Linked DNA regions of Macaca mulatta. The protein of the gene in region 1 purifies or fractionates together with the protein of each later gene. This does not show direct contact. Links are inferred from orthologs where the notes say so. Each region holds a gene or a part of one and is shown on either strand. Other genes may lie near its edges. The genes, in order: NCOA4 and FTL.

Region 1 (4,400 bases):
GCCTTGCCCCTTGTAGGAGTCACTCTTGGGTGAGATCCATAAAACCCTGCTATGAACATCTCCTTTGCTGAGGAATGTGGGGAAGCAGTTGGCAACTGAGTATGGAGGACCTCTGTCAAAACTGAGGCAGAAAGAAGTGCTATTTTAACATCTGGTCACAAGTAAATAATGTGGGTTATTATCCGGGCTGTAAACTGGACGTGGTGGCTTATGCTTGTAATCCCAGGTGACGTGGGAGGATCGCTTGTGCCTAGGAGTTCGAGTAACTCAGTCTGGTAACACAGTCTGGTAACACAGCAATACCCTGTCTCTACAAAAAAAAAAATTTTAAACCAGGCATCATGGTGCACGTTGGTAATCCCAGCTACTCAGCAAGTTGAGGCAGGAGAATCGCTTGAACCCAGGAGGCAGAAGCTGCAGCGAGCCGAGATTGCACCACTGCACTCCAGCCTGGGCGACAGCGTCAGACCCTGTCTCAAAGAAAAAAGAAAAGAAATAAAGAATCTGGGTTCTGACATTTATTTATTTACTCAATGTATTTTTTTTTTTTTTTTTTTTTTTTTTTTTTGTCGCCCGGGCTGGTTTTTTGTATTTTTTAGTGGAGATGGGGTTTCACCATGTTAGCCAGGATGGTCTCGATCTCCTGACTTCGTGATCCGACCGTCTCGGCCTCCCAAAGTGCTGGGATTACAGGCTTGAGCCACCGCGCCCGGCCCATTTTTTTCTTTTCTTTTCTTTTTTTTTTTTTTTTTTGAGACCCAGCGTTGCTCTGTCGCCCAGGCAGTGTAGTGGCGCGATCTCGGCTCACTGCAATCTCCCCCTTCCGAGTTCAAGCAATTCCGCCTCAGCCTCCCGAGCAGCAGGGACTACACGCGCGCGCCACCACGCCCGGCTAATTTTTTTGTATTTTTAGTAGAGAAGGAGTTTCGCCGTGTGAGTCAGGATGGTCTCTATCTTCCGACCTCGTGATTCGCCCGCCTCGGGTTCCCAACGTGCTGGGATTATAGGCATGAGCCACCGCGCCCGGCCTATTTACTTTAGAAAAACAAATGTTGCAAAGGTGGAATCATACAACATATGGCCTTTTGTGTCTTATGATATTCATTTTTGCATCTGAACGTTCAAGTTAAATAATATCTACCTTGTGAGGGCATTTGAATCACTTAGAATGGTCCTCGGCACAAAACTTGCCTTCAAAAAATATTTGCTTCATTTAATTTCGATTTATTCACGAAGGGCTAAAGGACGTTGTGCAAGGGCTGGGAGAAAGTGTGCGCCTGCGCTCTGCGCCTTCTAGAGGGCAGTCAAGGGGGCTGGGAGAAAGTGTGCGCCTGCGCTTTGCGCCTTCTAGAGGGCAGTCAAGGGCTTCTGCCTGACCCAAGGGGAGATCTCGCGAGACTTTCAGACCTCTGGCAAGAGGCGTGAGAGGAAGATTGCGTTGTCGCGAGAACTCTGCCTTTTGGGACCTAGGTTAGTGTGGGGCCGTGTCTCAGTCCACCCAAGGTCTCCTCGGATCGCGCGGAGAGGCACTCGGACCTGGTAAGAACGCCGTGGGCCGGGTGGAGGCTGGATGATCGCTGGCCCCGGGCTTGTCCGTCCCCTTCCCGACCTGACCGACACCGGGCCCGGCCTGCCTTCTCCTCCCCTTCCCTCCACACGCCAGGCCCAGGCACCTCTTCCTGCCTGCCCGCCGGTCCCGGCCTGCCTTCTCCCCTTCCCTCCACACGCCGGGCCCGGGCCTGCCTTCTCCCCTTCCCGCTACACGCCGGGCTCCGGGCCTGCCTTTTCCTCCCCGACCCTCCTCATTCCCGGCCCAGAAACCTCCTGCTCCCCGCCGGCCTTCCCCTGGCTTTAGGTGTGACAGCTCCAAGTTTCCTATTTCTCTCGCCTCTTGCCTGGATCTGGGGCGTGGCAAGGTCTGTTTTGCCGAACCAGCCCAGAACACAATCCATTTCTAGCTTGTCAGGTGGAAATACAAATAAGATATTGGGGTTTTTTTTTGTTTTTGTTTTTTTTTTTTTGGCCCTCTGTGTGCTAAACACATACCGTCACATTTAGTTCTCCCAATAATCCCGAAAAGTAGCTTGATTATCTCTGTTTTACAGATGAGAAGAGTGAGGCTTGCTCATTCATTGGTTCATCCACCAACAATCATTTATTTGGTGCCTGTATGTTCAGGATGTTGAGGATAGCAATGAAGAAAATGGACACACTCCTAATTCTCATGGAACTAAATTCTCGTGTTGGGAACAACAATAATCATAAGCTTACGTGGCACGGGATTTAATGTGGAATGATGCCATCAAGAATGGCAGAAGTAGAATGACAGAAGTCAGAGTGCTAGAATTTATCTGAACCCACAGGCAGAGCTTTTTTCCTTTTAACTGTGCCTTTTTGTGTCTATCTAATCAGGGTCGGGTTCACCATAGTAACTGCCTTTTGGATGGACTTAGCTTTCCACCACGCACTTGGTAATTTGGAACTAAGTTTACAGAGACTCTTGAGTTACTTATTGGAATGAGGATGGCACAGGAAGTCATAGTTGGCCCATTTCTGTACTGAGATCCTACTGTGACATTTCCAGACTTTAAAGTACATGAGACCGTTTGAGAAAGGCTTACCCTAATGATGCAATGGAGGGAGATTCATTTGCTGCCTTGTGGCTTAGGCAATTTACTTGGTTTTCTCATTTGAAGATTTGCTAGCTTGCAGATTTGTTCAGATAAGTAAATGAGATAATGGGGGGTCCAGCACAATAACATTCCTTTCACTTTCTCCTTCCCTCCCTTCCAGGGAGCCTTTGTCCTTGGGTCTCTGAGGAAAATCCTACTCTTGGAAAGTTTTGTGATACTTTTTATCTAAATAAATCTCTACAATCACATTATTACCTTTGTGCAAACAGGCATTTCGGAAATAGAAAAAACACGTTGAGCTATTGAAGGAAAGGAAGATGTCCTTCTCAAAGGCGGAGAAGGTATTTTAGAACTACATGATACCCCTGACCCCTGTTTTTATTAAATCAGCATAGCTGTGCCAGAATCTCAGGAGCCCGTGTAGGGGTTTCATAAAACTCCATAGTATATCCTGACACATATCCCTCCCCCGGTTTGAGAGTCCCTAAGTTAGTGTTTTATAATACTTTCCCTCACATAGTGTTAGCATTCAGTGCCAGTCATTGCTGCTGCTGATGGACTTTGAACTCTGTCTCTTATTTCAAAGAATTAGTATTTTCTGCTTTGTTGGCAAATCGGTGACACGAGTTCTCCTCTAGGTGGCAAGTTCACCATTGTGTTCTCAGGGACTATCACAGTAGTGGCAGTTGAGGTACTCCATAAATAGTTGTTGGATGAATACATAATACCTTAATACTTAATGATTCCTTCAACATACTCGGTATGGTTAGGGACTTTGGACTCAGATCTGGGATTAAATCTTGGCTCTTCTACTTGGAAGTTTGTGACTGTAGGTAATATATTTAACCTTGTCAAGTCTGCTTTTTTTTTTTTTTTAATTGTGATGATAATAGCCCCTTTAATGGTTTGTGAGTGCTAATTGAGATAATGAGTTTTTAAAAAAAGGCTTGGCACATAGTAGACTAGATGTAAATACTTACTGAATTTATTTACTCAGTAATTAATTATTGAATACCTACTATACAACAGTGAACAAAAAGACAAGTCCCCGCCATGTGGAACTTACCTTATAGTACGTTTTCTGAAGGGAGATCAGAAAATAAATGGTTGCTACGTGCCAGATTGTGGTTAGTACTATGGACAGTGATAAAGCATATTGAGGGGGAGTGGAGGCAAGACTTTTAAAAATAAAAGATGGTGAGGAATGGCCTCACTGAGAAGATGACCTCTGAGCAGACACCTGGAGGAAGTTAAGGCCTGGGCTTGATACCTGGAGGAAAGTGCAAGGGCTCTGAGGAAGAAGCATCCTTGTTATGCTAAAGGAGCAGCAGGAGGAGAAGAGTAGGGGTAGAGGGGAAGAGTAGGTAGCAGTCATGAGGTTTCTGCAGGAGTCCTAGAGAGAGATGATGGTAATGAAATTGATGAACTTTATGTCTGTCTTTGTTATATCCTGTTCTTTGACAAAAAGTAATAAAAATAGCTAATACTTATATAGCTCTTACGTGCATCAGGCACTATTTTAAGTGCTTTACATATACTAGTCATCAGATCTTTCCAACAAAGTATACCTAGCCTCAGAAAATGAAGATTTGTCACTCTTGAGGATATACAGTGGAATGTGCTGCTGGTTCAGAGAGCACTTTCTCAAGCATTACTGAAATCAGCAGTGAATTCACTGCCTCTGTTCACATACTGGTTAGGTTGCAAAGGAAAGCCTAAAATGTCTGTAACAGACCACCCAACCAATATGTATGCATTGGGTTAAGT
Region 2 (3,818 bases), on another chromosome or scaffold:
GGCCGGGCGCGGTGGCTCAAGCCTGTAATCCCAGCACTTTGGGAGGCCGAGACGGGCGGATCACGAGGTCAGGAGATCGAGACCATCCTGGCAAACACGGTGAAACCCCGTCTCTACTAAAATACAAAAAAAAATTAGCCGGGCGAGGTGGCGGGCGCCTGTAGTCCCAGCTACTCGGGAGGCTGAGACAGGAGAATGGCGTGAACCTGGAAGGCGGGGCTTGCAGTGAGCTGAGATCCGGCCACTGCACTCCAGCCTGGGCAACAGAGCCAGACTCTGTCTCAAAAAAAAAAAAAAAAAAAATACGCATTAGTTGTAGACAGACGTCTCGTCCATAGGTCCCCAGACTGTGTGTCCACAACGCAGGGCTTCTCTTTGTGGGCCTGAAAGAGCACACGTCAGGCAAGACACGACGGCAACTGCGGAGACACTGTTTTCAGGGCCAAGGAGAATTCTCGGAGTCTGTGAGTTGCCTCCAAAACAGCCCCCAGGACACGCAGTCCCAGAGACACCGCAAAGCTCGAAACAGACATTTCATTCCTCCCCATTTCCACTCCCAGAAAACGACTGGGCCCTTAAAAGAGCTCCAAGGTATCCCCAAAGTCCCAGCCAGTCTTTGGAGGGTTTCCGAGGGCTGTCCAGGGTTCCAGAAGTCACCCTACCTCATACAATGCTCCTCCTGGGCTTCCCGCACTGGGGAACCCCACGGCTCCAGAACAACTGCCCTTTCCAACTTGCAGAGCACCTCAAGGACCTAAAGATCTCCCCGGGGAGGGCTCCAAAATATAGAGTTTGCATCGTGAACTCCCACCTCTGTAAAGCCCAGGACTCCAGTCCTCGCACCCCTCTGTCTCCCAGAGATCCCCAGGGGTCCAGAAATACCACCTCACTGCCTTCCAAGCTTCCCAAGGATCCGGAGACTCCTTATCTCGCAGCACAAACCTCAGGCAACTACAGGTCCTCCCCGCACCTCTGAGTTGCCCCTCCCCCACTCAAGGTTCCAGAAAAATCCATGCCCTCCGAAACCCCACAATCTGACTTACTTTCCCGAGGCACCCCCAGGACCCCAGGGTCATCAGTTCACAGGACTCTCAATGCTCCCATAAAACTATAGCCTCCCAGAGGAACCCCAGCCCCCACCCCCCCGCCCACGAAACCCTCCATTCCTCGAATCGGCCCCAGGGCCCCAACCCCCGCAAGCCCCCATTTCACAACACACTCGCGCTGCAGGCGCGTGACTTCCCCCTGCTTTGGGGCGGGGGCTGAGACTCCTGTGTGCTCCGGATTGGTCAGGCACGGCCTTCGGCCCCGCCTCCTGCCACCGCAGATTGGCCGATAGCCCGCTCCGAGCGCCCCGCCTCCGAGGGCCAGCGCACTATAAAAGAAGCCGCCCTAGCCACGTCCCCTCGCAGTTCGGCGGTCCCGCGGGTCTGTCTCTTGCTTCAACAGTGTTTGGACGGAACAGATCCGGGGACTCTTTCTTCCAGCCTCCGAGCGCCCTCCGATTTCCTCTCCACTTGCAACCTCCGGGACCATCTTCTCGGCCATCTCCTGCTTCTGGGACCTGCCAGCACCGTTTTTGTGGTTAGCTCCGTCTTGCCGACCAACCATGAGCTCCCAGATTCGTCAGAATTATTCCACCGACGTGGAGGCAGCCGTCAACAGCCTGGTCAATATGTACCTGCAGGCCTCCTACACCTACCTCTCTCTGGTGAGTCCCCAGGACGCCCCTGGCCCTAATTTCCCCCAGCTGCGCACGTTCGGCCCTCAGCGCAGGCGCCGGCCTTCTTTGTCCGGTCGAGTAAACAGAGGGCGGAGTCCCCCTTGGCCTCGCCTCCCGCTAAGCGTTGTTCCCTCCATCTCTTTCCTTAGGGCTTCTATTTCGACCGCGATGATGTGGCTCTGGAAGGCGTGAGCCACTTCTTCCGCGAATTGGCCGAGGAGAAGCGCGAGGGCTACGAGCGTCTCCTGAAGATGCAAAACCAGCGTGGCGGCCGCGCTCTTTTTCAGGACGTCAAGGTAACTAGTGTGTGGGTAGGGTAACGGACTACATCTCCCAGCAGGCCGTGCGCGCGAGGAGCCTTGATTTGAGGGCTTAGATGTCGCGTGGGCTTCGGGGAGATTGAGTTCGGTCTTGTGAGCCCTTTTACGGCTGGAAATAGAGGCGCACGTCGTGCAGTGCCCCCAGGACGCGGCAGTCCACACTGCTGCGTAGACTTAAGGACGTGTAGCTGTAAGAGCTAGGACGGGGTGCGGAGAGTGATAAATACAAGCTGTCACATGTCTTTGTGGCCTGGGCCTCTGACCCCCACCAATTCTTGGGAAATGTAGGTTTAGTTCCATGTGCCGAGTGTGTGTATTCTGAAGCCGTTTCTCCCTTCTGTATAGAAGCCAGCTGAAGATGAGTGGGGTAAAACCCCGGATGCCATGAAAGCCGCCATGGCCCTGGAGAAAAAACTGAATCAGGCCCTTTTGGATCTTCATGCCCTGGGTTCTGCCCACACGGATCCCCATGTACGTACCCCCTGCATCCATGGCTACCCAACCATACCCCTCAAGCCTTTGCTCTCTTTGGGCAAATTCCCTTCAGAGCCTCATTTAACACCTGTCATATTTTAATCTGCAACTGGCAGCTCTTTCTCCCTCTTTTCCAGGGATCGGGTTTCCTTTTTTTTTTTTTGAGACGGAGTCTCACTCTGTCGCCCAGGCTGGAGTGCAGTGGCCGGATCTCGACTCACTGCAAGCTCCGCCTCCCAGGTTCACGCCATTCTCCTGCCTCAGCCTCCCAAGTAGCTGGGACTACAGGCACCCGCCACCTCGCCCAGCTAGTTTTTTGTATTTTTTTTTTTTAAGTAGAGACGGGGTTTCACCATGTTAGCCAGGATGGTCTCGATCTCCTGACCTCGTGATCCGCCCGTCTCGGCCTCCCAAAGTGCTGGGATTACAGGCTTGAGCCACCGCGCCCGGCAGGGATCGGGTTTCTAATTTCTCCCTCTTCTCTCTCAGCTCTGTGACTTCCTGGAGACTCACTTCCTAGATGAGGAAGTGAAGCTCATCAAAAAGATGGGTGACCACCTGACCAACCTCAACAGGCTGGCCGGCCCGGAGGCTGGGCTGGGCGAGTATCTCTTCGAAAGGCTCACTCTCAAGCACGACTAAGAGCTTTCTGAGCCCAGCGACTTCTGAAGGGCCCCTTGCAAAATAATAGGGCTTCTGCCTAAGCCTCTCCCTCCAGCCACTAGGCAGCTTTCTTAACGACCCTAACAAGCCTTGGACCAAATGGAAATAAAGCTTTTTGATGCAGTTGGTGGTTTTGTGTGTGGTATGGAAGATGAGGTGGGATCTGTTCTCATAAAGCTTCTGGCTGGGTTGGGGATGCCAGTGAAAGAGGAGTTGGCCCCATCTCCCATTTTCTTATCTCTTCTAAGACAAGAAGCTATCTGGGTAGTGTTGAACTTGAGGGTTCTCTGCTTGCCTGGCTGTTAACTGTCCCTCCCAGATGGTAGAGATAGCCTCCAGGGAGTTGAATTAAGACCTAGGTTGGTACCTGGACACAGATCTGTTCGGTTTCAGCCAGAAACAGCACTATTTAATGAGTGATTATGAGGCCAGGTGGGCCGATCAGCTGATGTCAGGAGTTCGAGACCAGCCTGACCAACATGGAGAAACCCCGCCTCTACTAAAAATACAAAATTAGCTGGGTGTGGTGGTGCATGCCTGTAATCCCAGCTAGTCAGGAGGTTGAGGCAGGATAATCGCTGGAACCTGGGAGGCGGAGGTTGCGGTGAGCTGAGATCAACGTCATTGCGCTCCAGCCT

Evidence for each region.
Region 2: the proteins of NCOA4 (region 1) and FTL purify together in Homo sapiens (co-immunoprecipitation; 3 studies listed by BioGRID and IntAct, counting the BioPlex papers as one, with this or other methods). This does not show direct contact. The link is inferred for Macaca mulatta from reciprocal best matches to the Homo sapiens genes NCOA4 and FTL.

Annotation. Positions count from the first base shown.
Region 1 is NC_133414.1:59,166,401-59,170,800, forward strand, and holds the start of NCOA4 (nuclear receptor coactivator 4), read left to right. Parts: upstream 1-1,403; 5' UTR 1,404-1,539; intron 1,540-2,902; exon of another isoform or gene 2,903-2,974; intron 2,975-4,400. UniProt on the Homo sapiens protein: Cargo receptor for the autophagic turnover of the iron-binding ferritin complex, playing a central role in iron homeostasis. Acts as an adapter for delivery of ferritin to lysosomes and autophagic degradation of ferritin, a process named ferritinophagy.
Region 2 is NC_133424.1:61,421,385-61,425,202, forward strand, and holds FTL (ferritin light chain), read left to right. Parts: upstream 1-1,408; 5' UTR 1,409-1,609; coding exon 1,610-1,711; intron 1,712-1,872; coding exon 1,873-2,019; intron 2,020-2,388; coding exon 2,389-2,514; intron 2,515-3,006; coding exon 3,007-3,159; 3' UTR 3,160-3,185; downstream 3,186-3,818.